Linked DNA regions of Drosophila melanogaster. The protein of the gene in region 2 interacts with the protein of the main gene of each other region in a pairwise test. Each region holds a gene or a part of one and is shown on either strand. Other genes may lie near its edges.

Evidence for each region.
Region 1: the proteins of betaNACtes4 (region 2) and gNacalpha interact in a two-hybrid assay, tested with the Drosophila melanogaster proteins (one large-scale study listed by BioGRID).
Region 3: the proteins of betaNACtes4 (region 2) and Nacalpha interact in a two-hybrid assay, tested with the Drosophila melanogaster proteins (one large-scale study listed by BioGRID).
Region 4: the proteins of betaNACtes4 (region 2) and Ravus interact in a two-hybrid assay, tested with the Drosophila melanogaster proteins (one large-scale study listed by BioGRID).

The regions. Positions count from the first base shown.
Region 1 is NT_033779.5:1,033,514-1,042,253, forward strand, and holds gNacalpha (germinal nascent polypeptide-associated complex alpha subunit), read left to right. Parts: upstream 1-3,732; 5' UTR 3,733-3,865; coding exon 3,866-4,909; 3' UTR 4,910-4,993; exon of another isoform or gene 4,994-5,020; intron 5,021-5,065; 3' UTR 5,066-5,172; downstream 5,173-8,740. Other genes in the region: IA-2 protein tyrosine phosphatase, read right to left, coding at 174-677.
Region 2 is NC_004354.4:14,376,243-14,384,928, reverse strand, and holds betaNACtes4 (Nascent-associated complex beta-subunit-like, testis 4), read right to left. Parts: upstream 4,579-8,686; 5' UTR 4,494-4,578; intron 4,440-4,493; 5' UTR 4,423-4,439; coding exon 3,631-4,422; 3' UTR 3,513-3,630; downstream 1-3,512. Other genes in the region: betaNACtes3 (Nascent-associated complex beta-subunit-like, testis 3), read right to left, coding at 5,164-5,952.
Region 3 is NT_033778.4:12,756,726-12,762,502, forward strand, and holds Nacalpha (nascent polypeptide associated complex protein alpha subunit), read right to left. Parts: upstream 4,275-5,777; 5' UTR 4,080-4,274; exon of another isoform or gene 4,076-4,079; intron 4,068-4,075; exon of another isoform or gene 4,002-4,067; intron 3,800-4,001; exon of another isoform or gene 3,797-3,799; 5' UTR 3,791-3,796; coding exon 3,137-3,790; 3' UTR 2,968-3,136; downstream 1-2,967. Other genes in the region: mRpL18 (mitochondrial ribosomal protein L18), read left to right, coding at 1-389; ox (oxen), read right to left, coding at 471-506, 573-704; Dgkepsilon (diacyl glycerol kinase epsilon), read left to right, coding at 1,020-1,178, 1,237-2,244, 2,301-2,618, 2,674-2,793; CG12374 (uncharacterized protein), read left to right, coding at 5,428-5,589, 5,661-5,777. UniProt on the Drosophila melanogaster protein: May promote appropriate targeting of ribosome-nascent polypeptide complexes. Required for correct localization of the osk/oskar protein to the posterior pole during embryonic development.
Region 4 is NT_033777.3:13,260,069-13,268,784, forward strand, and holds Ravus (ravus), read right to left. Parts: upstream 3,994-8,716; 5' UTR 3,931-3,993; coding exon 3,899-3,930; intron 3,839-3,898; coding exon 2,791-3,838; 3' UTR 2,665-2,790; downstream 1-2,664. Other genes in the region: CG11686 (uncharacterized protein), read left to right, coding at 1,574-1,702, 1,970-2,053; Su(var)3-7 (suppressor of variegation 3-7), read left to right, coding at 4,448-5,232, 5,667-6,251, 6,320-6,664, 6,720-7,697, 7,765-8,716.

The DNA.
Region 1 (8,740 bases), on a different chromosome or scaffold from region 2:
TACATCACCTCTAACTAAGGTGAAAACTAAGCCAAAGCTATCTAAAGGTTTAGGGAAAGATAAGGTATCTTAGATACTCTTCGGCGCATTTGCAATAGAAAGAACCCTTACCCATCTGCCATCTGCCTCTGCTTTCGTGCTAGTGACTTGCTTATTTCGTAGGGGACACTCACCAACATTGCCCTCCGCTTGAGCAAGATCTCCATGCGTGGCGAGCAGAAGGATCAGCAGCAGGACTCCGAATTGCAGTAGCTTGGCCGGACGACTCAGCGCGTCCAGGCTGCAGCAGAGCAGGCCGCCGCCACCCGCCCCGCAGCCACGCACCTCGCGCCGGCGGGCGCCTTCGCTGATCAGATGACGACCGCGGGCGGGCAGCGTGGGCGGCACCTTGCGCTGGTGGTGCAGTAGCTCGTGCTGGCGCGGACTTCGGTGGTGATGCACTGACTCCTGCGGCGTCGAAGGGTGCTGCTGCGGATCCTGCTCCGGATCCTGGTCCTCCTGCTGCTGCTGCTGGTCGAATGGAGGTCGCTGCTTAGACCAGAACTGCTGGCATTCTCCCGTCGCCGACTCCTGGTGCCCGGCTGTTCCGCGTGCTCTCTGGTGCTTTGGCTCTTCAGTTGTGGTGCATGGATGTTGCTGCCGTTGTTGTACATTGCGTGCCATGATAATCGGCACACCTGCAAGAGGGGAAACCAATTAATTAGCACACAAAAGAATGGCGACCCGAGGACACAATTACTCGCAATTACTTATTATCTTATATTAATATGTTAATTTATACTATACCCCATTCAACTATTTTGAGCCCCCCGAAGCCAGATTTCATTTGGATAAACAATGCTTCCATTTTCAATTAGTTTTTTTAGGGGGGAGAAATGTCGCACTCACCAACCCATTCCCATCGGCTCATAAATCCCTACACAAATTTATGCAGGAATTTGCACTAATGACCTGCTGCTGCTCCGCAAAGTGGGTGGTGCTCCTGAGTACAGCCCAAGTGATTCGGGTGCTCCTTATTGTTGTTACCGGAAATTAGCAATGTATATTCGGTGGCGCTGCCTCGGCTGCCTCTTCGGGGAAATTGCATTTTATTGTGCCAGGGACAACTTTTCGCTTTTCCGGCATTTCCATATTTCATATTTTCACACAATGCGCACAAAGGGAAGCCTTGGAGGAGCTGGGGGCTGGGGGCTGGCTGGAATCTTTGCTGGTTGGGCACATTTGTCGCGCTGCAGTTTCCGGTTTTTTAGTTGCTCCTTCTTTGTGCGGGCTTGGTGTGGCCTCCAGTGATCCCTGCTCCGGCTGCCGAATGCTTAGCGAGTATTTCTTGCTCTTTATATGGTAATAAATGTCAGACTTCGCTTAGCCCTTGGCAGTCGGCAGGGGAAATTGATTTTCCTTGCCGCTCCAGCGACTCCAAATCGTGATGGGCAGGTGGTTGGGGTCTGGAAATGCTGTTGGTTCTGGGTTCTGGATATCGTCTCGGTCATTTGGCGATAAGCGCGTCAGCCTCGCTCAAGGCTGACATATTTTGAAAGAGGATGACGGCAGAGTTTACTTCATTCTGAAGGCACAGCCATACCGCCTGCCAAACGGGATTCCAGCTCATCAACAGCAGCACAAAGATGTGGCATTCCAGATTGGCCCATCGACAAAATAAACGTCAAATTATCAAGCGAACAAGGTACCAAGTGAAATGACCTTGTCAACGCTAAAAACAAATTGGGTTTCTACTTTATTGGGAGTGCAAACAGTATGTCCACAAATTTGCTACGGCATCAGGATGTATAAAAACTTGGTGCTATTCGAAACTAATTTGCAGACTCACTATAAACTCACTAAAACAAACTCCTTTAATAAATAGTTTTCCTAGCAAAGACTGCTGATTCACTTACAACAATAGAATTAAGCCAAATAAGCATCAATCAGCAATGAAATTCATTAGCGGGAAGAGGAGACTCTCGAGCAGGCACAATATGAATGCCTTGGCCAAGATCTCAATTACGGAAACATCTTTGGTTATAACATGTCTACGACATGGTAATATGATTTCAATCATTTCTCGAAACTTGCATGATTAATGCGTTACAGATTTTTGCCCCCAGAAAGCGGCTTCTGTGGGCCTCGTTGCCTTGAAGGAGAGTGAAGACCTCGTCCTGGTGGGCCTCCGAATTGGGTTCATTTTTCATGCACAGGCCGTGGCAGCAGAAACTAAACTTCGAGGCTAAGACTAAGCCCCAATAAGTTGGATGGGCCCAGATGACACCGCAGCATATGGGGCGGATAATTAATCATGGGACGAACGTGCCAGGACGCCCAAAAACTTTTCACCCTTCTCCGGCTCTCCGGGTCTCCGAGTTCCAAGTCCGCGCAGAACTTAACTTAACCGAGCAACATTGAATCGAATCGACCGAGATGTTAAGATGCGAGGACTCATGGCTGGGCAAAGGGAATATCTGATTAGTTGGCCTCTCGAATTTAATTATGGTGACAGGACAGACTCTGCGGCGGCAGCCGGATGCATCCTCGGTCTCCTGCCCTCCACATCCTCCTAGTCCTCCTCCTGCTGCTTCATTCGCCTCTCCTGAATAATTTGTGCAACTCAATTAGGCGTTGACCCCACGATAAAGTTTAATAATTGCAGGTGGTGGACGCCCTTCTTTCGCTCGAACTTTAATTAAAAGAACCGAGCAATTAAAAACGCATCATCAGACAGAGCGCAGCGGCTTGCAGAAAAAATGCAATACATGCTCCCGATTACCACATACCTGTTATGTAGGAAATAGGAAAGGTCAGAATTCATGAAAATTATGCTAAATGTTATGTTAACTCCATTGGGGATTTGATCCATACGTGCTCATATTCTTATTGTACGGTTGTCTCGAATTGTGATGTAATTTCCGTAACACGAAGAGCGCCCTAATAGGGCGTGGCACTTTTTTAATGCACTTAGCAAGTGTTTTTTCGCCACACGCAGAACGCAAAACAGGATCACACAGCCCCGCCCTGAACCGCCTGATCTGGGAAATTCGGGAGCCGGAAAACCGCAAGGAAAACCGCACGTGTAACCGCGCTTGCTCCACCGCGTCGTGTTTGTGGGGCTGCTCCGCTTTGGAGGCAGACTGCGGTGCGACCACGACAGCAATTAACACGGAGGAACCAGCTTCAGATTCAGGTCTTTGGCATTTTCCGGGCATCCGAGTTTTACGACTTTGCATATTCGAATATTACCCAAATAACCGCTGAACTTTTCATTTCTCCACCACTTTTAAACTGGCTTTGTCAGGTGAAAATTTTCAAGCACGTCACTGCAGTGGATTGATTTGCAATCATCAATTTCGATAGAATTTGCGAGGCGCTGCAGCAAAACTTTTATAACCGCGAAATTAAGTGCACAGTTCGAAGGCAGCTGACATTCTCGTTTGAAAAATACCAACTTTCTTCAGAGCAGCGCTGCTAACGCCTATAATCAGTTCACGATTGCACTGGGACCTATCGATATCGATAGACTTAGGCGTGCTCTGCATGTTCGAATGGCCGAGTGGCCATTTTAAAAACTTATAATCTTTCCGAAAGCAACACTTGATATTGTTTATTTCGCTATTTAGGTGCCATTAGCATAAAAAATTTCCAGTTTTCATTATGAAAAAACTTTTCGATAAGTATACCAAATTTCGCAACAGCACTTATCGAAGAGAGCAACACCAGCTGTCAAGCCACTGGAAGTTTCACCTCTGATATTTCCTGTCAAGTCTTTCCCGCAAGAGGTCACACCACGTGCGCTGCCAATTTGGAAATTTTTTTGGAGAAGTTGTCCTCGCAAATCTGTGATCGCAAATCCCTCAGTTGCTGTTTATTCCTCAAGATGGGTAAGAAGCAGAAAATGAAGAAGGCTGCCCAGATGGCGACCGCTGCCGAGAAATTGAAGACCGCTGCCGAGAAATCGAAGACCGCTGCCGACAACGTGGTGGCCAAAGAAAAGCCTGCCGAAGAAGCCTCTCCCTCACCAAGTGGCAGTGGAAAAAAAGGGAAGCCCAAGGCAACGCAAAAACCAAACGTCGCAAAGGCACTTCAGAAGGAGATCTCCAGTTCGGAAGACGCCTTGGATGTCAAGAATAAACCTCCGGCAGGCTTTAGTGGCGCAAAGGGGAAGCCCCACATCATGGGTCAAATGGACCCGGCCTACCGCAACAAGATCAAGAAGCTGATGAGCCTGGCCAAACAGCTGCCGCCCAATGTGTTCAGTCTGCCGAACTCGCAGAAGGAGGAGGGCGCCTCCGCCGCGAAATCCTGCGTAGTTGAGGATGATCAGAGCACGGACTCCGATGACGCCCCGGATCTCGTGGAAGCGGATCCCAAGGAGACCCAACCGGACGAGCAGGGTCAACTCGGTACGGTGGCCGTGCGAACACGTGAGGTATCAAAGCAGTCTCGCGGCGAGCGGAAGGCACGCCGGATCCTCATGAAGCTGGACCTGAAGCCCATGGAGAACGTGGCCCGAGTGACCATGAAGAAGGGCAAGAACATCCTCTTGTACATCGATCAGCCGGACGTCTACAGAGTGGCGCACTCGTCGACGTACATCTTCTTTGGGGAGATCTGCGTGGAGGACACTAGCACCACGTCCGTCGCCTCCCAGGCAGCTGTCAAGGCGGCCGAGCGATTCCGTGGAACCTCGCCTGCCGGGCGGCAAGGTAACGAGGATGGAAAAGCCCCTGGCGAGGAGTCCCCACACGACGACGACGACGACGAGAACGATGGCGAGGACGCGGATGCCATGGGCCTACATGCGAAGGACATCGAACTGGTACAGATGCAGGCCGCGTGCTCGCGCAAAAAGGCGATCCAGGCGCTGCTGAAGAACGACAACGATGTGGTCAATGCCATCATGGCCCTGACTGTGGGTTAAGTCGCTCTGAGTGGCTCCTTTGTATTCAAAGTCATGAAATAAAGAGAATTTCAATAACATCCATGTTCGCCATAGAAATTAATGGTAATTAAATGATTACAATCAAATCGTAAACTTTCATGTTGTTTTTATTTACTATACTTTCATGTAATCCAGACAATCCTTTCGGACTTCACTTCTCCTGGTGGATGGCTTGTTCTACAAGAATGACAATCTCCGGTGCCAATGTAGCTCGTACTATATTAAATGCCGATCATTTCCTGGTTTTTGAAAATGTTTTCGGTCCCAGCAGAAGAATCCCACTGAAGAACCCCTTTGTACAGCGAAATTGCCATCTTATTTCAATTTTCTAATGAATTGACATTTCCACCATTTCCATCTTGGCACAGTGAAAGCATTTTCCGAAGGGCGAAGAACGCATATGCGAACCCGAACCATTTTCATTATACTCGTATTTGCTCTTCCATCAGCGCTAGACTTTGGCAATTTTCCTTTCAGGTACCGTCATTCTTGGACATTTTCTCTGTGGCGGAAACTTAATCGCTTCTTTCTTTGTGCCGCTGACGCTGCACTCTTGTTTACTCTGCACTTAGTTTTTAGCCATTTGGCGAAGTCCCCCGGCACTCGACTTTGCATTTTTTGCTGGCGAATTTTTGACGACGCCGTGATTGCGTTTCAGCTCTTTCAGGGGATTTCAGGGGTACTCCCAGGTGAGACAGGTGACGTCGCTGCTGGTGACGTGGCTACGCAAGTCCTGCTCCGCGGACATTTGACTCAATTAAATGGCTCGACTACGTTCAACGTCCCTTTTCTGGCCCCAAAAGCCACTTAATGACTAGCTCCGGCTCTAACTGAACTTTTTTTAATTTTCAGCTGTCGTCAGCAGCCGTAAAAAAGGCTTTAGTTTTGCATTGTGGGCGCTCAACAGTCCGTGCGGCTGAGCACGTGCCCGCTTTTTCGCCGGAAAAGTGGAAATGGAAACTTTGTAGGTGGGACGCATTCACCTTCTTCGTTCTGTACACTCATATAGTGCGAGTAGAAAGTGCCCGCGCGTGTCGGCTTCGAATGGAAAGTTCTTGGGGCTCCATTCCCTTTCCGTGGAACTTTCTCCGCCGGAAATTGATTAAGTTGGCTCCCTTTAATCAGCGGAATTGAAGATGCTGCCGAAATACAAATCAGTTGACAGTCGGCAGCCGTACTGCGCAATTTACTGCCCAATCCAAATGGTACTTTGAAGTACTTTCCGCGTCGGCAATTTCCACTCCTTGCTGACCAAATCCCGGAGAAAGCGGCAACAACAGCGAAAGTTGTTAAATGCCTAATGACATCATTCGGTCTAGCACTTTCTCGAAATGAACTACTTGTAAAACGGAACGAAACATTGTTTAATATTATAATATTAGGTAGCCATATATTGCTTGGGATAACGGCAGTCATTGTTCCAATTAAATCGTCCGGTTCTGAGCCATTGTATCCACTTGGTCTTAAGAATTTAACATGTTTCTTTTGTGTAGGCTCCAAGGCATTCTTTATCTGAATGCCACCTTGTGTTCCTGTTTTACAAGAATTTTCTTTGACATGAAATGCTCTTGCTTTTCACTGGCTTTTGCCTGCCGCTTATAAACTTTCCCTTTTGGTTTTGCGGCCAACGTTTGGCCTGCTGCCCGTTCGCTTGAGAAGTTTTCCTTTTCGTGGTTATTCATTCGCTTTCAACTTGATTTGGGTTTCACATTTCGGTGCGCATTTCTTGACCAAAATCTGCAGGATTTGTCTTCGCCGTCGTCCTTCCGCCTGTCCGCATCCGTCTGGCCAAGTTGGCCTGCCAAGGGACTCGGGCTTACTTGGGCGCCTCTGGCGCAGTTCATCACTTTGGGCGAGCCGCATATACTGCTGAGCTAATCATGACTCCTCAGCTTCTCTATATTCATCTCCATTTCACTGGAATGCTCTGAGTCCCGCCCAGACCAGGCCCCCCGATCTGGCTTGATGTGTTGGCAAGCTTTTGCCATTTGATTTGACGCCACTGTTTGCTTTCGGATGGGCAGAGTGGCTGCCAGGTGTGTGCTTGCCAGCACACTTTAGCGCTCTTCGGGCTCCTTGGGGTTCTATTATTGAGAATATCGAGCACCTGGGCCCCGAAAGCCAGCGGCGCAAAGCCAACGCGTGGGAGCGACTTCCTGGCAGGTGATTTAAAGCTCGACAGGCTCACATTTCCCGGCCTTTGTGTAATTGATGCACGGCAGCAGCTAAAGGATAACAAATCGCTTTCATCCTGACTCCGCTTCCGGGCGAGCACAATGTGTACAATCACAATCCGCCGTCTGCAAATACACAATCCATAATTCCTTTTTTGGCCAGCCCAGCGTGAAACGGATTTCCGGCGCCTCTTCGGCGAAAAAGGACCTCTCCGTCCGAAAAGCAATTAGATAAACTTGCCAGCTGGATTCGGCAATTGAAAGTGGCCGAAAGTGGAAAATTGCGGACCAGCTGGGAGTGGCAGGACAATTATGAGAGCGAAGGTTCGGATAATTCAGCAATTTGGTCGGGTTAGGGGAATCAGCGTGGAATTATTCTCCTAAGTGCCATGAATTATGACTTAGTTAGCTAAAGCGAATAAATTATTGTTACGGATTTCGGAGTAAAGCGTCCTTTTCTCTCTGAGCCAAAAACTCAAAACGTTTATACATCAGATTAGTTAAATGATAGGAAATGGAATTCATTTCCAGTTCTAGTGTATCTGACTGTATCAACTGTTCAATTGCTATCCACAAGAGAGATCCTTCCATATTCCCTGGACTAATCTCACTTAAATGGAAATTGTGTTTGTTTCGTATATATCTCACATTCATCTTTATTATTTAAGGTGCTTTTTGTTATTTGCTATTTGTTGCGACCATTACAACCCGTTGTTTTGCTCTGTTTCAGGTGGCAGAGCATCAGATAAGATATTTCGGGGCTTTATTCTGCATGTAGGAAAATTGCCTTTCCCCGTTCCAAATTGTTTTACATTTCAACCCAGAAAGTTTTGGCATTTCGCAGTTTACCTCTTGGCCCTTTGAGCATGTTAGCAATTATAAGCTGCCTAGGGAATATTCAAGGAATTTGTAGGAGCAAAGGGCAGGGTCCGCCACCAACACTGAGTTACACGATCCCTAGAACCCTGGACCTCTGAAACTCGTTATGGAAAGCTTCTTATGTTGCAGGACGGACGCCCGTTTTCTCCCCTGAAAACGCTCGCAGTTAATAAGCATTTCCTTTTGCCGGATTTTATGTGCCATATTTTATTCAGATTGCGCTTCATAAATGCAGCTGGTGAAAAGGAGAGCAAAGGCCACGGATAATGAACACCAGTCAGGCCCGGGTGGAGAATTTCCAGCAAACTGAACTGATAATGTTGTTAGAGTGCACACATACATGCATGCATGATGTGGGCGTGTTCCGGGAGGGCGGGGGGCTGGGAAATCAATTTCGGGGAAAACAAATTGCGCAGCTCGTAGTGAAAGCTCAGCGAATATAATACTGCTGCAGTTTCCGTGCTCAGGAGGTACACTTTTCCTGGCTGCCTGCTTATCTGTCATTTTAGCGGGAAACTATCGTTAATGGGAAACTGATAGCAACAGCTTTCCCACTCGCGATAAGTAATGTTTCCTAATTGACTTTTTATCACGCTATCCGACACCTGATACGAGAATTATATTATTATTCCCATTCGCCGAACAATAATTCACAATAATTTGTGAAATTGTCGCGATTTCGGGACATTCATCGTGACAGCAAGTGAGCAATCCGCAGCATTCATTTGCATTCTATAATTGAATTTATGTAACCAAT
Region 2 (8,686 bases):
TGTGTTTTTCGTGTGAGTGAGTGTGTGTGTGTGTGTGTGTGTGTTGGTGTGTCTACTCACTCACACATAGCCGGCTAAAAGTTAAATTTATTGCCCCAACCCCTCACCCTTTTTTCAGGATATATATCTCGTGTTTGTCTTGCGCTTTTGTTTTCGCCTCATTCCTTTTCTTGGTTTCTCGATTCTGTTTTTCCACTTCGGTACAGATTTTCCCAAATAAAAAAAAAAAACAGAAAAAAGGAGAAAACTCACCCCTTCAGCGCCTTACTTCTGCCACTGCATTTATTTCACTTGATTTTCAAACAAAATTTATAAGTTGCGCGTCGCGTCGTTTATTTTGTTTTAATAGCAAAGCAATTTCAAATATAAAGACATTACCCAGCGGAACGAGAACGTGTGCTTGCATTCGAGTGTATGTGTATGAGTGTGTGTGTGTGTGTGTGTGTGTGTGTGTGCCCAACAGAGAGTTGCCAAGGCCTGAAAGCATGCTGCAGTATAGTATTTTTGGGCCAGGTTACCTCGTTTCGCAGACACTGGTGGCGAAAGTTAAGCAAAGAATTTTTGGCAAGGACAAGGAATGTGAATTTGGCATGGAATAGGGGACTTGGAAAGGGAACGAGCGATGCAGAATAACTCTGCTAAGAACTCTTTCCGAAAACGAATCGAAAATATTGATATAAGAGCCTCTTAAAATAGATTACAATAATTGAAGAGCACTGAGGGCGAACTTTTCCCCTCCTTCCATTGCGAACTTCTCGCCAGCTGCTGACCCCATGACCTCTTTTGGAATTGTGAGAAGCGCGGCGGAGGGTGCAGTTCATAATTGCCGTTTCAAGAGCATCGCAGTTCGCAGTTCTCAGTTCGTAATTGTTCTTCGACCAGAATCGAATCGAATCGAAACGAATCGAACGGAATGGAATCCTGTGCTGTGTGCAAGGACTTCTTTTGAGTCCTTGCTGCGATACGTGCGTGTAGTGTGACCAGCTGTTGTCTTCGCCAAGCTCGATAACAATCACCAATGGCTTGTTACAATAACTACAGGCTGCGTCTTTTGGCGAATGGGACCTTATCAGTTACGGCAAAGTCAATTTAGGGGTCCAACACATGTCCGGGTTCGCACGATTCAATATTAATAAACACTTAAGCCGTGTGTTAGGGACAGGGATAGTCGACCGCAATACAATGTCCTCGAATCGGTTTGCCCGGGATGTGGCCATATGCCCGGGCGACACATGTGACTTAAAATGAATGGCATCGTTTGCGGATGACAGGCGAGGACCACGACCAAGGAGCCATCAGGAAGTAGAGAAGCGGGAACAGAAGCGATGTTTCCACATATTAAATTCACGCTGCCTGCCAGACAGTTGCCAAATAATGCGTATTTCATTAGAGTCCAAACAAAAGTGGCGACAATATAGCACAGGGCAGACCCACCCACAGCACTCTGGGATCGATACAAGTAGGTGTTGCGGATAGGTCTATTTTTCACTCAGCCTAATGAGATGTTCTTATGGCCCATTCATCTTCATCCATCAACCATTCGCCGCATCAACTGGATACGGCATTCTTTTATGAATTATTGTAGATAATGTTCGACAATAGTCATCAAATCGGAATGACAACTTTCATAAACGCCACTATTTCCAGAAATTTCCAGAGTTCATCATGGACGAAGAGGCAAAAGGCGAGCGACATAATCCAAATACCATTTGAACGTCTTTCCATTGCTTTTTTTTTTTTTTTCTTCAAAAGCACTCACATTACATTCCAAGGTAAAGTAAGCCACTTGGTGGAATGGCATCAGCTTAGACTTTTGGATACTTTTGATACTTTTTGAAATCCAACATTAAGCTCTTGGAAGCTTCAGTTCAGACCAACAGAAATTTTATATACCATAAAAATATCAAATAAAAATGCCTCAGAAGCATCGCCTTGACAATTTTAAGCTTTTATCATCTTCAATGGGTCTCTACTTTTTTATATTTATATTATTCTGGCATGTCTACGAGTATATGTGCTTTTAAAAACGCAACAAAAACGAGGAACTCCTATGCGAAATGTTTCATTTTGGTTCAAATGATTCAATTCTATTCTATATAAATATATAGGCAAATATCATACAACATTCCATGGGTATGTTTATATCTGCTTAAAATTTGTAAAATTTTCCACGTGCCAAAAGCGACGGGAAATACGAAAACAATAGGCAGATTTGCCACATGTAATTTCACCTTTTTGGTTCTTTGAGGCCCATATTTGGCTGTCGAACAATGTGCGGATTAATCAGTGTTAGCCACAGCCAATTTGGCTTTTAAGAATTGGAATGCGTATGCATTGTAGGGAATCTTGTGGGAAATTAAAGTGCAACACCCCATCCCCGTTCGGAAGAGCGATATCGTTGGTTTTCGTTGGTGTCTGTCGACAGACCATAAGTCCGCCCGATTTGGCCCCGATTCCATTGGGGAAACTCGCTACCAATTTTGCCAGAGTGCTGGCTCCCAGTTGGGATGAAGGCCATCCATTGTTGCCTCGAAAGCAAAAGGGGGAATAGCAAACGCAAAAGCAAAAGCTGGGACGAGAACAAGAGCTTGGGTGCTGATCATGGGGGATGTGGATACAAACAGGGGTGCAAAATTAATTATACACGCATGCATAGACAAAGGATACGGGGGAGAGCAAGAGCAGGAGCAGGAGCAGGAAAAGGAGCTGTGGCAGGACCTGGAGCAGAGGGAGGACACCTCATAATAATCACTGGTGGCATGTGCTAATACGATAATGGGCAACCAGTTGGCAGATTCCACATCCCCCCGGGATGTTTTTCCGTTTTTTCCTTTTTCGCTATCTGTTTTATTACCTTTTTGCTATTTATTTATTACCACTAAGAACACACACCATACACCATTCACCATACACCATACACCATACACTACACACTTATACATATACACACATTTCATGTTCCACATATACAGCACATCCGGTACGCCCACTCGTGTGCTCCGCCAGCTCCACCCTACCAACACCATCGCACTTTGAGGCTCCATAAACAAATATATTAAATTTTAATGCTTAATTTATGTGCAGATTAATTTCGTACATTTTTCGAGGCGCAGATTAGTTTTTGCCGCCCTTTCCACCTCCGCCACCGTGGAACGTAAATAGGGGCGTGGCATTTCCTCTTAAACGTTTACTAAATTAATTTTGCTCGGATTTCTTGTTTAATGCGTTCAAGAAATGCGGCACGAAAAAGCATTCAAGAGATCAAATGGATCTTTAAGCGACTCAATAGTTTATTAACTTTTCCAATCTTTAACTAAATGTGAACAGGAATTATGTTAATAAACATCACTTAATTTTAGAAGGATTTTCGGTTTTTGTGCCTTGTTTTGCGGCTTATAACAATGCAAGACGATTTTAGCAAATTAATCATTCGTTGGCCATTTCCCCAAATAATATTGACTAACTCTAAGAAATTCTAGAGAAAAAACATGTAAGGTATGCGAGGTATATGTACGTTAATAGTATGCGATTTATTTAGCAAATTGGTACAAATCTAGCAACATATGAATATGTCTAATCTTCGTCCTCGGAGACCTGAGCGCGTTAAGTCTTCGGATTGAGCTGCTCCGCCTAGGAATCATAGCCATCGGAGTAGAAAGATAGGTAAATCGACTCCTTACTGTCATCGTCCTCCTTGCCGTCGGAATCATCGCCGAAACTTCCCAGCGAATCTTTGTCGCAGACGACGGTCCGATCCACATCAGACTCATCCGATGGCACCTTCTCATTATCCGGATCGCTACCATCTTCAGAGGAGATCAAAATTGATTTACCATTGCTAAGCTTCGGCTCCGAATCCCCGCCAGCCATGGCTGCTTCCTCATTGTTTTTAGAGAGCATCATTTGGACCTTCTTGTTGCGAGGACGAACACGATTGCGCAGCTTCTTGGGCTTCTTGGCCACCACCTTAATGGTTTCCTCTGATTCTGGCTTTTTGACGGAAAAAGCTTCCGGCTTGGGTGTCATGGGTGCCATGGGTGCCATGGGTGCCATGGGTGCCATGGGTGTCTTGGGTGCCTTGGGTGCCTTGGGTGCCTTGGGTGCCTTGGCTGCTTTGGCCATTTTCGATGGGCCAGCTGTTGACGATTTGCGCACGAAATCGCCATTAACAACTAACAAACCATTGGCAGAGATGCCCTGAACCTTGGGCATGACTACCACAACCTCACTGGAATCGGTGAACTCGATGGTCAACTCATGGATTCCGCTGATATTCTTTAACGGTATCTTGGCCAATGTCGCCTGCACGCGCTTCTCATCGACCGCAGCTACTGATGGGATTCTCTTATGCTTGCGGCGCATAGATCCTTTGCCTCCGATGCGCACCACCTCCTCCATGTTCTGTCGCTTGTTGAAATCCATTGTTTTGTTAAGAAAACCTATTAACTTGTATGGGTAAAGTGCGTGGAAAAGAATTCTCTTGAAATGCTCACCTTGAAAATTCTGTGCTTTGCAAATTTATATTTTAATTTATATAATATTAAGTAATATCCGCTCCGAGATGTGAATCAACTGAAGTCCTCACGCCAAATCAGAAATGTGACTTGTAGACTGCAAAGTCATCGTCTTTTTTTTTAAAAAGGGTTGCCAGGGCTTTGTCATGTCCTTGCAAATGGGAACTCTAGACTCTAAAATTCTTATTATGTTCGGCTGGCATAATAAGTATTAGTGCTTTTTTTCATAATAAATTATACAATTTACAGCTCTGGTAGCATAAATATATTTTTTTTGAAATATATTCATTTTTTTATTTATAATAGATATGTATTTGGTTGTAAATTGTGATGATAGCTATTCCAATTATTTGTGGCCGATTAATTATTCTCTGGCCATTTCACCAAATAATTTTGACAACTCTAAGGTATTCCATGCGAAAGAGAACACGAAAGAGAACACGAAATAATGACTGGCAAAAACTTAACGCAGCGTAAGAAATCACGTTCTTGTGAGATAAACATTTAATGAAAATTTTACAATGATTAAACATGTTTTATAAGTATTTCCAAAAAATTTAGAGAAAATATATATGAAGTGCAGTATGTACGTATATAGTATGCGATTTATTTAGAAAATTGGTACAAATGTAGCAACAAATGAATATGTCTAATCTTCGTCCTCTGACACCTGAGCGCGATAAGTCTTCGGATTGAGCTGCTCATCCGCGGAATCATAGTAATCGGAGTAGGAAGATAGGTAAATCGACTCCTTACTGTCATCGTCCTCCTTGCCGTCGGAATCATCGCCGAAACTTCCCAGCGAATCTTTGGCGCAGACGACGGTCCGATCCACATCAGACTCATCCGATGGCACCTTCTCATTATTCGGATCGCTACCATCTTCAGAGGAGATCAAAATTGATTTACCATTGCTAAGCTTCGGCTCCGAATCCCCGCCAGCCATTGCTGCTTCCTCTTTGTTTTTGGAAAGCATCATTTGAACCTTCTTGTTGCGAGGACGAACACGATTGCGCGGCTTCTTGGGCTTCTTGGCCACCTTAATGGACTCCCCTGATTCTGGCTTTTTGTCGGAAAAAGCTTCCGGCTTGGGTGGCTTAGGTGGCATGGGTGCCTTGGGCGCATTGGCTGCCTTGGCCACTTTCGATGGGCCAGCTGTTGACGATTTGCGCACGAGATCGCCACTAACCACGAAGAAAGAATTGGGAGGGGTGCCCTGAACCTTTGGCATGGTTAACACAACCTCCCTGGAATTGGTGAACTCGATGGTCACCTCTTGAATTTCTCCAATATTCCTCAACGGTAACATGGCCAATTCGGCCTGCACTCGTTTCTCAACCACAGCCGGGGATGGATTTCTCTTGTGCTTGCGGCGCATAGATCCCTTGCCGCCGATGCGCACCGCCTCCTCCATTTTCTTCAGCTTCTTGAAATCCATTGTTTTGGTAAGAAAACCTATTAACTTGTACGGGTAAAGTGCGTGGAAAAGAATTTTCTTAATATGCTCACCTTGAAAACTCTGTGCTTTGCAAATGAATATATTAATTAATATAATATTAAGTAATATCCGCTCCGAGATGTGAATCAACTGAGGTCCTCACGCCAAATCAGATATGTGACTTTTAGACTGAAAAGTCATCGTATTTTTCTTTGCGTTTTTGACACGTGCTAAAAGGGTTGCCAGTGCTTTGTCATGTCTTTGCAGATGGGAACTCTAGTCTCGAAAATTCTTATTATGTTCGGCTGGCATAATAAGTATAACTTTTTTTTTTCATAATAAATTATGCAACGTACAGCACTGGAAATTTGTAGCTTCAGTAGAACATTGTCAAATATATTCATTTATTGTATTTAAAAAAGATATTTGGCTGTAAATTGTCAAGATAGCTCCTGCGATTAGTGCTTAAGGGTTACCACAATTACCAGAAAAAAATTCCATTCAACTATCGATATATTGTGAATGTCAGCGGTCTGCTGAGTTGGTCACACTATTCTCGAAATTCTAAGGAAAAGAACTTAACCTATGGGCTTTTAGTGATTGTGAGGATCCATTTGTTGCTGAGATTGGAAAAAGATTGGCCAATTTACAGCGAAGCAAGGGATGTACGACCAAAAAAATTACACTTAAAAAGCAGGTCAGTCAAAAGAAAAGAAGGGCAATGAAAAAATGAAAACACGTGGTTGACGCTTATGACAGTGGGCCACTTTTGGCGCCACTCCTGGCCAAAAATTCATGCCCAGTGTTAACCAAACAAAGTTGCTGTGGCCATTTGTCCATCATTTCGCTGCCGGGCTGATTAAATTGCCAGATTTTCACTACTATGGCTGTCATTTTGTTGTTACTCCCCCCCCCTCGAAATGACGTTGTTGTTTTTGTTGTGGCCTCGTAAACATTTCAGTGCAATAAACGTTTATTTGATTTTATTTGTTTTAATGCGGCGAGGCGACCTCAAGCCCAGGCCCAAACCCAAACCCAAACCTCAGCCCAGACGAAACCAAACCAAACCATTTCAGAACGCCTCTTAACTGGGCTCAGTTTTGGTTCAGACCGGCTCCTCGCTCAGCGCTTCAGCCAATTGCCAGTGGCTGTTTGCTTGGCACAGTGGAATGTTTTTTTCGCAGTCACTGTGGCCGCGTAAAGAGCTCGCGGCATTTTCCTCCTGCTGCTCATTTGTGACTGTGTGTGTGTGTGTGTGGGTGGGCGGGTGTTGCAAGGCGGAGATGGGGGCGTGTATCTGTGCAAGGATGCCCATTTCCTCCATTTCTTTTTGGCACCAAAGCCGCAGTTGTCAATAGAAAAAGGAAGAAACGGAGAGGGAGAGAGAGAGAGAGAGAGAGACAGTTGAGGAAAACTTTAACTTTGCTGCTGCACTTTTTGGTGAAATGAGAAAGTGCAAAAGTGGGCGGCGGTGGAGGTGCTGTGCTCAGTAGAAAAAACAAGAATGCGGTCATTGTTACGTTTATAAACAGAATAAAAGAGCGGGCCAAACTGAGATGCACACACACATACTACCAAACACATACTGACCGCATTACCAACTGCCAAACTGACCGGCAAAAAGGTGAATGGGCCAAAATGGAGGATGGGCCGCAGCTCAGCCTCAGCATTTTGGCCGATATATTTTCTGCAATGCTGCACATTTAAGCCAAGAGGAGAAGACTCCAGGCTCACCTGGCCCAAGCAACGTAGTATATATTTTGGTCTTTGGGTTTTTTCTTCCAATGCTCTCGCTCTCGCTCTTGAGTAGCATTTCGTTAGATAATTTTCGATTTTTTTTTTTTCTTTTACTTGTTTTGTGATTTATAACAAGTGCTGGGATGCCAGGTTGCCGTGTTGCCAGGTTGCCAGGTTGCCAGGATGCCTGGAGGAAAACAAGGATGAGGCTGTCCGAACTAGAGAATCCAGGCAGTGGCATAATCTACAGTTTGTGTTTTCAATGACTGTCAGCAAGTGCATTTGGAGTTATGTCAGCTGGAGCAGCTCTGTATGTGTGTGTGTGTGGGAATTTCAGAGAAATCCAGACAGTGAAGCAGGAAGTGAGAAAGAGAGAGAGAGAGAGAGAAGGAAAGGCGAGTGGGTGAGGAATGGAGTGCCAACTGGCGATGACTGCATCCTGATTGTGTTGACCACAGTGCCAAAGTGCCCTGGCATCCTGGGGAGCGGAACTCAATCGCCAGTCACAAATGACAAAAATTGTAGCACCAGATCTCTGCTCTGCCCAAAAAGCCAGCCAACGCAATTGGAAATCTAAATGCACGGAAGTGTTGATATGGGTTTTATTTCAATTTAATTGGTATCTTTCTAGTTCCTGTGAATTCCACTAGAGACAGAAGAAATGAATGCAGAACAACAAGAATATAAAGTTATGTTAGGATAACATTCTCAAATCGATAACCAACAAACGAACTACAAGCCAACAAATGTTGATTTGAAAACACGTAAATATATTTTTGTGTTTATTTAATTACTTAATGCATATATAATAACTTCATTTATTTTACAGATCGTTATCTATAATTCTACTTTATATAACTATTCATATAATACTAATGAGGCTTGCCGTTAAATCGTATAAATATGGGTTTGATTACAATTCCACTTGAAAATAGTATACAAAATGAGTGAGTATGTTACAACATAGATTACCTGTGTGTAAGTAGCCTGTCAGCAA
Region 3 (5,777 bases), on a different chromosome or scaffold from region 2:
CCTACTGGCACACTTTGGAAATCAACACCAGCGGCCGCTATGTCAGCGGCGATGTCAAGCACTTTGAGAATGGAACCATCCTGAGTGCCAGCACCTCGGAATGGGCCATTAAACAGCAGTTGTACAAGACCAACGACACATCTGCGTTTGTAAATCTCGGCAGAGTGCTCGCACAGCGCTGCCTGCAGTCTGGGATCACGGAAATGACCTGCAACGTGGAGGCGGTACCGGGTAGCAAGCTGCAGAAGCTGCTTCAAACCATTCAGGATAATGGGGTGTCCTTCAAGGAACCCTCTCGCCTGCCCAACGAGCAGCCCTGGGATGAGAAGAGGCATGAGAAGCCCTGGGAGGTGTCGGAAGACGCACTGGAAGCACCCAAATCAAAATAACCAAAAGAAACCACACTTAGTTATCGTTTCGTTTAGAATAAACGTTGATTATTATTGCTAATTACAACAAATCATGTTAATTTATTCGTATTTGCCCTTGATGTCCTTCCAGAGTTTCTGCAAAGCGGGGAAATCTTGAGATTTGGCCAGGAAACTTTGCTTACATAACAGGATTATACTTACGCCTTTGTTGATGCCCTCGAAAATCGCAACCGACGTGACATCGAGAGCGCGCTCGAAGAAAAAGGCCGACGCGATGATGGCCACGGCGTAGGTGGAGGTGCGCTTGAACAGGGTGTTGTAGATAACCTTCATGTTGGCTAGATTTTTGTTAAAGACGTCCGATTTGTTCCCAATCAAACTTTTTCCACACGCCAAACTCACAGCTGATTTGTTAGGTTGAGTTGACAAGCAGTGTTGGAAACGTCCTGAATCTAAATACTAGTGTCACTCCGCCTATCGAAATTACGCATTAGTGCTTATTCTTGAAAAGTGTTTTTAATTGAGGTCGAAGGTGTTTTTTGTTGTCTTTGAAGCGGTCACACTGGTCGATGGGGCAAAAACAAACGATTTGTGAATATGCCAAATTACCAGGATATTTAGCGTAATTGGGCCTTATCTGCGTGGACCATGGACATAGGCACTATTGAGCTGAGCGTGGAGGCGCTGATAGGATCCCTGCTGGCCCTCAGTATCCTCTTTGCCTTCTGCCGCAGCCTGCTTTCCGAGGACTTTGTGAGCACCTTCAAAACACGTCACAGCTGGAAATCAATAAAAGTGTTGGAACAGGTGAGCGGATTCACTTGCCGCGAAAGAGATACCATAGGATACATGCCCTTCATTCTAGGCCTGCTTCTGCAATGTGTGCGAGATCCTGCTAACCCCCTCCGCAGGACTCTTTTGCGACTGCTGCGGCCTGTGCACCCATGCCACGCCCCCTTGCCAGCGGAGGGCGGACAGGGAGTACCGGTGCAAGGACAAGTGGTTGCGCAACGAGTCCTCCGTGCGGCACTTGTGGGTGCATGGCAATCTGCCTATGGGAGTGCATTGTGCCGACTGCAACGAGGAGGTGGATCACCATGTCAGCACCGATCCAGGATTATACGGATGGCGATGTGCATGGTGTCAGCGGTGCTATCATAACGATTGCTACACTCGCGCTGACTCCATGGAAGCCTGCGACTTGGGCGAGTTCAAGGACATGATCTTCCCGCCATACAGCTTTGTGGCCGCCCGAACCAGAGACTCGATGCGGCTCCACTTGGCCAGCATTACGCCGCCAGACATTGAGAACTGGGAGCCGCTTATTGTGATCGCCAACACCAAGTCGGGCAGCAGTACGGGTGCCAATGTGTTGTCCCTGCTCCGCGGTTACCTGCATCCGCTGCAGGTGATGGAACTGGGCTCGAGGGGTCCGCAGGACGCCCTGCAGTGGGCCGCCAAAGCCAGTCCTCGCCCGTGTCGCATACTGGTGGCGGGCGGCGATGGCACCATCGGTTGGGTGCTCAATACAATCTATACGCTGAATATCAAGCCCCAGCCCTCGGTGGCCATCATGCCGCTGGGCACCGGCAACGATTTGTCGCGAGTTCTGGGCTGGGGAGCAGAGCCGCCCTCTGTTCTCGACCCGGTGAAGATCCTTAGGAGCATACGGCGAGCACGTTCCGTGAATCTCGACCGCTTTGACCTGCAAATAGAGAAACTGCACTATCGACTGCCTATTCAGAGGCATCCCACGAAGACGATTCATGTGTACAACTATTTCAGTGTAGGTGTGGATGCGTACATCACTTACAACTTCCACAAGACGCGCGAATCTCGATTCTATCTGCTCAGCAGTCGAATATTCAATAAGGTAGGCTACAATCTAGTGTGCTTACTTAACGTTAACTAATGTATCCATCTCGTCAGCTGCTGTACTTTACCTTCGGAACGCAACAGGTGATGCAACCTGGCTGCGAACACATCGAGGAAAAGCTGACCTTGTATCTGGACAACAAGCCAGTGCAACTGCCTGAGCTGCAGGCGCTGGTGTTCCTAAATATCGACTCATGGGGAGCTGGCTGCAAGCTCTGCGAGCTAAGCAACGCCAATGGTGAAGTGCGCATTGTAAACTCCATCTCCGATGGTATGATGGAGGTGTTCGGCATTGTTTCCTCTTTCCACATTGCCCAACTGCAGTGCAATATAAGCAAACCAGTGCGAATTGGCCAAGCCAAGCAAATAAGGGTAAGCCCTGCAGTGATGGAACCGAATATTTGTTAACCAACAATCTTTTTTTTAGCTACAAGTCAAGGAGACCGTGCCAATGCAGGCGGATGGCGAACCCTGGATGCAGAGTCCAGCGGATATTCGCCTCTCCTCGCGTAGTCAGGCCCGCGTCCTCAAGCTGGCTGCAACCTGAACATTAATAGCTAATACAGAATAGAATCCCTTATGTGCCAGTCCCTAATCTCAAAGTACTTAACCTGGAACCTCAATGTATACTTAATCGAATTCGGTTAGCAAGGCAAGTAAAGACACCCACACCACCTAGTGGAAAACCGAAACTAGTCGAAAAATACACGCAATCGTATTTGATTTGAAATAAATCCATTTTTATTAAGACGCAATCTTTTGAAATATAATTAAATGTTCGACTGGTGTAACATGCTGCCCCTTGAGGGGCATGCACAACATTTGGGTCAGTATTATCGAAAGGCGGGTAAACAACAAAATCAGGAGTGCAGCTAACGCTGAAGCCCGCTCTAAAGCATAGTAAGCTCCATGATGGCGTTGACGATGTCATTGTTGTTGTTCTTCAGAGCCTTGATCGCCTTGGCCCTCGTCGTGTTGGCCTGCGTGATGACCAGCTCGATATCCTTCTCATCCACGCCGGTGTCATCGACATCCTCCTCGTCTTCCTCGGCAATGGGGGCCACCGATGTGGTGGCGCCCACGCTGTCTGCAGCGCCAGCAGCCTCCGGGGCCTTGAACTTCTCGGCGGCAGCCACCTGGGCCTGTTGCGACAGATCCTCGATCTTGGCCTCACCGAACACGATGTAGGTGTCGCTGTGGGGGTTCTTGTACACATCTGGGTTGTTGATCACGAACAGGATGTTCTTCGACTTCCTGATCGTCACCCGGTTGACGCCCTGGATCTGCTTAAGTCCCAGCTTCAGCATGATCTTCCTGGCCTTTTTCTCGCCGCGCGATTGCTTGGCCTTTGAGACGAGGTCGATGGGCAGACCGGTGGCACCTCCACCCAGCTGTGTGGTGGCCGCTACAGCCTCCTCCAGACCAGGCATGCCACCATCGGAGTCGCTATCACTGCCATCATCCTCAACGCGGACGTCCTCGGGTTTCGCCTCAGCGGAGGTGGAGGGCGCAGCCTCGCTCTTGATTTCGGTCAGTTCGGGCATTTTAATCTGTGGGGAAGCAAGTGGAGAACACGAGGTTAGGTAATTGCTTTGCAAATAGTATCAATTATGCTAAGGGAAAACATCTGGTGCCGGTTCAAAGGCTCAGCGATGTGTCTCAGCGGGGGTCAGTTGGTATTGATTTTTCAAGTTCAATTGGAAAATCAATAATTCGCTACCCCCGTAGATCTAACTCTTAACTATGATATTTTACATAATTTAAGGCGCTAATTCACTGATATTTCGGCAAAAGTTAAATTGAAGTCGAAAAATGCGGAGTACACACACCTACCGGAAACGAAGAAAAGAAATATGGCGGAGGGGAGTGTGACTGTCGCTTAGCACGATTTTTCTTAAATCCAAGCGATATATTCTGTCAGTGTGAACGTATGCGTATGAAGTATGACAAATTCAAACTTTGTGGCTACTCTATTTCATAATTACGTTACTTTCAAAAAAATGACAGTTTCAAAATACATTTTTAATCTTTCACCTCTATAGTAAAGCACTATGACTAAAAATTTATAATTTAATTTGACTATCAAGGCTTGCTGAAATAATCGAACTATAAACAATTATGGGAGTAGCTTAAAAAGCAATAATATCCCAAGAAACTAGTTCTTTTTCGTAATTATTCAAAGCAAGTGTTAAATATTTTTTCAAAGGTGTAGTTCACTGTTTGGGTCACCTTTGCTTGCAATCTTCTACTAACGTAATATTTTAGTTTTTGATAATGCAGTTATAATTTTACATAAAAGAAAAACATTAAAAACAAATTGATAACACCGCAACATTTTAAGTGGCTTACTCAAAGGGAAGGAAAGGAACATCACAGATTAGGCTCAGTGGCATGATTAATTTCTGCAGTGACTAGCAATAACTGCACTGCTTAAATAGTAAAATTAAACGAATGAATGGTTTCACAATCGAATGTTTGACGGCTTTTCTTCCCCACCCAGTCTGTCACTTGAAGATGACGATCTTCAGTTTGCCAGTGCATTCTACAAACGCTTCTCGAAGTGCTCCTTCACGTGCAGACGCCTGGAGGAGTATTTAATTAATTGAACATGCCTGATAAGGCGAGTGCCTCCACACTCGGTGCATGATTTCACTTACAAATTTGACTCCGCTGACTTTGTTAGAGGAAGTTCACCGAGAAAAATTTGATACCAGTTTATTGTCATTTATACTAGTATTTGTAAAGGTAACTTGGATATTCGATATAAGTTTTTACATGAACTTAAGAAATTGATAATATTAGTTAAATTTTAATTAGGTTATTTGCATATACTCTGGTCTTTCGAAAACAATACAACATAAAAAATTAGGTCATGTTTCGGGATAAGTTTATTTGGCCAAGTTGAAATATCTTAAATCTTTTTTATAATTACTTTAATTAAATTTTCTTGTGTATCAACCATCTTTAGACACGTCTGGTTCGAAAGACAAAGTCCAGAGCTACTTTGTGGTAGGTTGGATGGGCGATTAGATCAAAGGAGACACACGCCAGATGACTGATCCCCTATCGCCATTAGATAACGTTCCGTTTGAGTGGCCACTCCTGGAGCTAATAAAAAGCACGACTGTGAAGGGACTCCTCACAGTGAACGCTGTAACGTTCAAGACACCAAACCTCCGAAATGAAACTACCAATCCTTCTGATAACCCTTGTGGCCATGGTGGCGGCCAAGTCCGCACCTGGTCGCATGGCCGCCCGGTACGACCACTTCCGTATCTATCAGCTGACCATTGAGACGAACTTGCAGATGGAGGAGCTTAAGAAGATTCACGAACACATCTCTGTAAGTACATACAAATTCCATTCCATTTCTGAAAATCATATATGTATGTCTTGACTTGATCCAATTTAAAGGTGCACTTCCTCAACGAACTGGGTGCTGTTGGAAACAAATACAATGTGATCGTTGGTCCCTTGTTCCACAGAGCCCTCGAGAAGACCCTTAAATTCCTCGAAATTGTTTACGAAGTG
Region 4 (8,716 bases), on a different chromosome or scaffold from region 2:
TGTTGTTTCGAAAAAATGTTTATTTTTTTCACACAAATAATATCTACACAAATACTGTCTACACAAATACTACTTACACAAAGACTATCTATGTATTTGGTTTAAAAAGATTGAGTTCTCTTTTAACTAACCTTAGTAACCCAATAAATACTTTGCTTAACTCTCAGATCGGCCCTCGCTGCCAAAAGCTTTTTCGCGAAGCTTTCCTTCGAAAGTGCGCGTCGGCAGTGCGACGGGTGACAACCCTGCCTGCAGTGGGCATGCAACTTGTTGCGCCGGTTTGCGCTTCTCAGTCTTCATTCCATTCTCGAATCCCCCGGACGTCGACCTCCGATCCGATCGTCTACTTGGTTTGTTATTGTTTCCTTTGGCTGCCTGGCATTCGGCTATTAAGTTGTTTTCGATCTTAAATACGTGGGTGCGTGGTATACAGTATTTATAAAATACTTACGCATAGTTGGCGTACGCCTATTAATTGGCGCATACTTCAGATTCGGCTGGTCTAATTAATCCGAATTTCACCGTGTGCTAATTTCGCCAACCGGTTTGTGGGCGATCTGCAATTGTTTTTATGATGACTTAAGATGGGCGATGACTTAAGACGACACACCCCGTCAAGTGCAGTGCTCGCTAGCATTGTGATTTGCATAATGACGACACTTGTTTTGAGAGTACTATAATCACCACTTGATCGTGGAATTCGGCTCGAAATCGGCGGTCGAGGCCTCGACCTCATACTCTGCCTTATTTTTGCCTTATTTTGGTCACAATCAGTTTTGACGTCAGTGTTTCTAAAATCAGTCTCAAAACCGAGCCAAATCGGTCGTTAGTATGTTTGTCACGACCCAAAAGTGAAATCTAAATGCAGAAGAAAGCCATTCAAATGCATTTTTCGGTGGTAAAACCTGAGTGTATGCATATTTTAATAATATTTTCTAAAAAGTGAAAAAGTATTTTTAGGAGAAAGCCGAATATTTAATCATTTTATAGTGAAGGAAGATATTAACTAAAATTCAAACTTCAGTAATCTTCAAAGGCCTAACTCAAGGTCTACTTATATAATATATAATTTGAAATTGCATATGACTAAAAACTATTTATAAATGAGTGTGGTATGCAAACACAAATGGGGTTTACTGAAGGATTTACTTGCTCGAATAACTTGACATTCACTATCTTAAATGGGAACGTTGATACAGCGATGGAAAAAATGATTTAGAAATAGAAGTGACGTTTTAGAAGCTCTTTTAATTAGGTGGGGTTTATCAGAATCGTGTTCTATCGAAATGCAAGATTTAATTTGTTAGCTCATTAAAAATATTATGAGGTCACTTTTTTAAGGCGCATATCAAATTAATGACATGTGTTTTGCTTATTAAAAATATACGAAATGCAGAAATTAGTTTTATGCTCGAGCAAGCTCCAAGTCTTGAAGTTTTTAATGAGATATGCTCTATTAAGAAGACGACTGATAAGCTTCAGTTTTTTATGGATCTTTCCACTAATAAGATCCCTTGTATTTATCTTATCGCACAGCTGAAATCGCTCTGAACAAACAACACCACTCATCACGATGCCAAATCCACTGTGGTTCGTCTTCTGGCTGCTGGTCTTCTGGTTCGTCTCCTTCTTCGTGGCATTCTTCTGCGCCTTTTTCTACATCTGGGTCTACGCATTTGCCTCCTGCATTCCCGCCCTGACGGTAAGTGGGTTTTTTTTCTATTTTGGGGAGCAGCATTTGAAGTTATATGGCGGGGTGAGTCAATTTACCTGCTTCACCTGCTGGTTGCATGAGGCACTTTCCTTATCGCGCCGTCAAGATGTTTAACCCATTAGTCATTTGGGGAACTTATCAGACCCACAACCGGAGCTTATGGGAAACCGCGATAGCTGGCCCCGATATGTAGACCCACCCACACCCATTGCCTGGAAAAACATTGCTAACCGATTTGTTTTCTTACTTTCGCAGGGCATATCGGACATTCTGCTCCAGGGAGTCCAGTTCCCGTTCTACTGCGGGAAAGCCATGTTAGAGGGCAAGCAAGCTTTTTAAGGGGGATATTTCCCCAATATCAATTAACTAAGTGCCTTACTGATAACTCTTGTTTTCAATCATTTTTTACAATTTTACAAATAAAGATTTATTAACTTATATTTATAATTACTGGCATTTTTTCAATTGATTGATTCTGATTGATTCAATCTGATATTACATGTTGTTTGTTCGTTACAGTTGATAAATTCGCCTGATGGAGTGATTTTTACTATCTTTACCTACAGAACATACATTAAACTATCATGCGATAAACTTTTTATCACATGGTATTGTACATGCGTAATATTTACCCTTCAGAGAATTCGCTTTGTATCATTCACAATAAGTAAATCACAATTGTTACCCACACACAAGAAGTGGTTTCCATTGATTACAGCTCTTCCGTGATATCATTCTCTGAGAAAATTCACAATTTATACTTTGCTGGCAAACCAAGGTCAGGAAAACACTTTTTGAAATGCAGTTAGTGAAATATTAAAGCGAACCTAATACCTTAATGAGCCCATTTATTGGGCACTTAAATTTCTAAACGGATGAAATGTAATGAAGCCATTTCATAGAACAAAAACACCATCAGATAGATTTAAAGAATAAATGCACGCCACACTACAACAACTAATAAATAACTTTATTAATGAAAATCAGTTAACAAAATTAAAAAATGAAAGCACTAGCATATATTCTAATTGCCGTATTGAGCACGGTTTGGAACCGATTCCAAAGTCCAGGTGAATTTATTTGGTGGTAGAAGCCACTGTCGCATTCTGCTGACCACTGCCTGAGGCTTCAGCTGCTCCAGACCTGGAGTTTCCCGCGAGATCCGGAAGTCCGGCGACCTCAGAGAGCGCCTCCTGTTCGCAAAGAGCACGCAACTCGAGCTCCCCAATGAGCTGCATTACCCGGATCTTACCCTCGGTGGCCAGTTTGGGCGGCAAGTTCTTGACGGTGGCACATATGCTGTCGAAGAACAGCTCCAATGAGTCGCGCGGTGGCGTTATAGGTGACAATGGTTGCAGTTGATAAGATTGCAGCGGGCGGGCAGCATAGGAGGGCGTCGTGTGTATAGGCGTTATGGTGGCCTTGGAATTGATCTCCTGAGCTTGGCACATCCCACTGAGTGGAGTACTGTGCACTGGAACTTTTTTAATGGTGATCCTGCATGGCGGAGCTACTGTTGCTGTTGCTGAGGATGTGGGATAGGCGGAGACAGTGGTCGGAAGACTTTGAGGCCCCTCGTTGATGGTCACGTGTAGTGGCAGATAATCCAGCATGCCAGAATTCTGTGAGTCGGTCTCCGAAGTGCGGCGCTGCTGCTTAATGACGGGCTCCGTTTCGAGATCATTTTGTGCTTCCAGTTCTTGAGTCCGCTTCTCATCGTCCTCGCAGTCGCCCTCTGTTTCGTCAAGTTCTCCCTCCTCCTCATCTTCTGTCTCGTCGTCTTGGGGATCTGTTCCGTATTGTAGTAGACCCTCCTCGTCCTCGGTATCCTCCCACTTCATCGCACCGGAGCTGGATCCATTGAAGCTCGAATTGTTTGCCTTGGCTGGCAATGATTTTCTTTGTGCATTTTCCGAGTGCTTAATGCTACCCTCGTGCTTTCCCAGATCAGATCTCTTGCAGCTGAGCCTGCACTCGCACACCGCGCAGAACACGAAGTGCGGATCCGTCTCATCCGGGAGCAACCACGGATATATCGCCTGGTACTCCGGCTTTGTCTTGGGTCGAGGATATTTCAGCAGGGCGCACGGCCGGCGTGGCCTGTATTCGGAGCGTAGGGCATCTCTGGGCGGCGAATATAGTCAGTGAACATAAGACCCTGGTCTCTTACTTTGGTATACTCACAGTTTTTCCTGAGTTAACTGGAGGTTTGACATTTGGGTAGTCTTTTCCAAAATATAAACAAAATCCAGTGAGGTATGACCGTGCGCACATGCATAGAAATACCGCATAACCCGTTTTGCACATGCTGTAAGAGTTGTCACCCACACCGGTTGTTTGTTTCTACACACTTTATTTTAAATATTCAACGATATATGAATCATATGCTAATGCATGTAATTTCTTTATATGCTTTCTAAGCATAATGTTCATGTAGTTATTAAATAAATAATTGCAGTTATACTATGAACAGTACGTTTTAAGACCGTTCTCAATAAAGTGACCAGTCCAGTCCCTCAGTTGCATTTTATGTATTTTTTGAACTTCCTTAGTATATGGTCCTTAGCCCGCCGGTTTAATGCAACAGTACGGTCACATTGGCCATCGCCTTGACAGCGATTCTGAGTTTTCGCTTGCGATTATTTTTATTTTTTTAGTTTATAACCGTATACTGTGATCTCCCAAAAGCTAACAAATATTAGAGCAAAGTGCCTGGATAACCAGTATCTCGTGATGGATCGGGATTCGAGCATGCAGGCGAAAAACCTAGATGCTCAATGCAACCCAGACCTCAAAATGGCGTCTGCAAATTCAGAAACTTTAGCGTCGGCAACGCACGAGCTGAAAATTATGGACGTAGAGGGTGGTGCTCTGGTGGATCCGGATCACATCGAGGAAGTGGAGACCTCCATGGTCATCGTGGTGGATGATGACGATGGGGATGTGGCCATGGTGGTGGAGGAGGACAAGCACCCGATGCGGGATGACCCGTGTATTGAGGACATCATGGATGACGAACATGCTCCATTGGTGGCCGAGCTACAGTCCGCTCTAAATAACCCAGACGACAAACAGGCCAGCGAGGATCCCCTCCTGGAAGACCAGGAACGTGAACCCGATGCCATGTCCACTAAAACTGAACCCTCCAGCGATGCGGAGAGCTCCCATTCGTACCACGATCCCATGGGCCTGCTGGAGAGGATTGAAATCCATGATCCGGGAGACAGCCAGGATGACGACGACGAGGATGACGAAAGCAGCAATGGCGGTGGCGTTGACGGAGGCATGCGCCGCAAGATGCCCCGCGCACAGCGCTGGCTCCTCTGGATGAAGCGTTGGCCCTGGATCCTACACGAGGACTCCGATGGCACCTTAGCGTTCTGCCTTTACTGCAACATATCCATTAACGTGAACAACCGCTCTAGACACATCCAACAGCACAACGTGTCGCTCTCCCACCAGGAACGCGAGTGCAACTATCTGGCATTCAAGAAAAGTGAGGAGGAAACTCGAGGAGCGTAAGTGTCACAGTTTTAAAGATTACAAAAAAGAGTACAGAAATCTAAAATTCGGAGAAATCAAGTTAATTAATCCGCCGTATAAAGTAAAAGCTCAACTCTTCAAATGCCTTTCACTTTGTAAAGGGTTTGTACCGAAATCCAGAAAGCCCACTGTAGTGTGAAAAAAACTGCCAACTTAATGAAGGGAGCACTGCTCCGAGTCCGCATTAATTTTCCAACGTGTAGCAATTGTTTGACACAAAGAAACTGGTGTATGATAGGCTTGGTCGCGGTTCAGAATAGATTTTACATATATTACACTCCCTGCTTTCAATGAGGGTAGCTCTACTCGTAATGTTAGTAAGATTTGCACCTTTAAAAAACGAAATACCGAAATCATATTGAGATCACCGAAAGTTTGCGAACACTTATTAACTCCCAATTATCCGTAGAATCAGCGACAACGAAATCAAGCACGAATTCGGCACCAAGAGCTATGTGGCCGCCATGAAGCAAAAACGAATCTCCGAGACCGAGGCATTTAACAACTTCAACTGGCTGCGTTGGCTCCGTTGGCATCCTTGGCTTGAACGTTCCATGCCCACAGGGACCATCGGGACATGTCGCATCTGCAGCGTGCGAATGAACGTGGAGTTTGTCTATTTGCGCAAGCGCCACGAAACCACCAAAGGTCACATGGAGGCACTGCGCAACCTAGATTCCGATAAGCGGAGTCGGAAGCGAAAGAGGAGCAAGAGCAACAGCGTGACCAATAGCGGCGGGGATGAGGCCGAGCGAGAGAAGGAATCTGAACCAGAAGTTGGGCCGGAGGATGCTCAGGACACCCCTGTGGTTATGATGAACGGCGATGTGGACTCAGGCGACGACCCTGGCAAGTGGTGTGCACTGATTCCGGACACCAATCCACAGCAATGCCGATGTACGCTCTGCAACTGCACAATGGCGATTACCAGCTTCCTACGGCACTGTAAAACCAGAGCTCATTGTCACATGCTATCGACACCCGCTGAAAAGGGGTGAGTTGACACTCCTACAGAACGTAAATAGCACCTGTTCTTTAACTGCTTTCACTTTTTTACCTCAGCTCTTCAGATATTCGCGGCATTTGGGCCGTGTTCGCCGACATGCATCCTTGGTTGATTGCTGATCCCGAAGACCCCAGCATTGGGTACTGCAGCGTCTGTCGCAAGCGATTCATGTATGGAAACTCAGAGATCAAGCGCAAGAATCACGAAAAATCCGAGAAGCATACCTTGGCTTTGGCCAGCGCCAAGGCAGGCATCGAAGTTGGTTCGGCTGACGGCAGAGGCGGCGATAACATGGATGAAGAGGAAGCGGCGGCAAGTGATCAAGCCCAGTCATCGCAGACCGATGACAGCGAAGATAATGACGATGACAATTGGTCCGAGATCCAAAAACTCGGAAAAGGGTATGTTGCTTAAAATATTTTTAATTTTTACTTTAATAATAATAATTTCGTATAGTTTTGCTCATAAGTCCTCTAGCGAGCCAAGAAAGGCCACGGTTCGCGCTGGGGTACGTTTTTACCCGTGGCTTTGCTACTCCAAGGACCGAAAGACTCAGATTTGCAAATTCTGCCGCGTGCGCTTTCACAACGAAGCGGCAAAGGCGCGGCATGAGTTGAGTGCCCGGCATGTAAAGCTGGTAAAGCAGTTCAAAATGCGGCAAGCGAAACTGCACCAGGGCACAAACACGCAAACTAAACATAATGCGCAGGATGATGAAGAATCACAGGAACAGGACGAGGAATATGGAGAAGAAGAGGAGGACGCAGAAGAAGATTCCCAAAGCAACTTCGACTTGGGCACCGTGCAGGCAAGAAAGACTGCTCGAGCGGACAATAAGCTTTTTGTCAAGCCCATTCCGGCAACCATGAAGGGCAAGGTTATGGTGTGGAAGGGCCGCTTCCCGTGGCTCTCCTACAAAAAGAACGAGCAGCGTGGAAACTATGCTTGGTGCAAGCTGTGCGAAGTGTCTCTCTACCTGCCCTCATCCAAGTGGGCCTCCAAGCACCAGAGGACTTCCCGACACATACGCCTCCGCATTGATCGAAAGCGCAATGGTGGCAACCCTTTGAAAACATCGAACAAAAACTCAGGTGAAATATCCACTGTTGTGGCCACAGCTTCGGCTTTGGCCAGCGCCGAGGCTAGACAGAAAGCGGCTATGGCAGAGCTGCAAGCGAAGTACGACTGGCTGGATCCTGATGCCAATGACGAGAATCACTGTCACTGCCGTGTTTGTGATAGCCGGCTGCCGATCAAGGTATTTTACCTGCGGCAACACGACGCTTCGCGTAAGCACGTCGAAAATAAGGAGCGGCAAAGGGCCAATGCCGCCGCTGCCGCCAATGCACCATCAGTTAGTCCCACTTCCACCGTTGATGCGGAAAGGCAGGAGTCTGGAATGGACAAGGAGAGCGAAAACGATATGAGCGTTCGGTGAGTTTAGAATTCGAAATCCCTTCATTAAGCGTTTCTAATAACCACACTCATTATGGCTACTTAGATCCGATGGCAGCACAGCGGAACCGCTGGCGAAGCGGTCCCGACGCTCAATGGAGGTTCGTCGCATAATACGCGCCCTTCGCGACTCAATGGGCAAGCGACAGGAAGAACGCTCCCAAATGGACATGGCCAGGGACATGATATGCTCGTCGTTTGATATTGTTACACGCTTGCGAACTTTGGAACGGGAGTCGGTCGCACATAACGAGTCTATGGCCCAGGCGCCGCCATCGGTGACAGTGTCACCGATTAAGCCACCGGAGCCACGACATGTAATGGATCTCTTCTTTGACAGCATTTCGCCGACCATGAAGTCCCTGCCGCCGGATTTAGCCGCAGAGGGCAAGTCGAAAATCATGCAGCTCGTTTGTAGCTTGGAGCTTCGAGCCATGCAGAGAAATGCGACAACTCCAACCCCAGCTACAGTTTCTGCTTCCTCGAAATGGCCTTCTTCAACTACGGTGACCCCAGTTAAAACTCCTCCTGCTCCTATTTCAGCTCCCCTTGCTTCTGTCGATGCAGATTTGCATTCCTCGGTTGTCACAACACCGCATGAATACAATAATGGGCAGAACAATAATAACGACAAGGAAACCGTACCGAAAGAGCCAGTTACCGGGGCTTCCTCTGCCCAAGTGACCATCAATGGGAGCGCCAAAGACCTGCCAGAGAATATACGCCGTATCTTAACTTCCAACCAAACGCAAGTGACCAACCGCCTCGAGACGGATTCCGTGCGTTGTGTACCTCTTGACAAACTAACAACACAGAGTCGGACCAACGTGAACGGACGACTCAGTCAAGGTGGCACTTCGGAAGCACCATCCACCCCACAGGCGGACCTTAGCAATGGTAACACGTTGGCCATGATCAGGCAGATACGGGTTAACAATAACAACAGTTCCAAGATCACCGTTACTAATACGCCTCAGATGCAACAGCCGCAGCAGGCA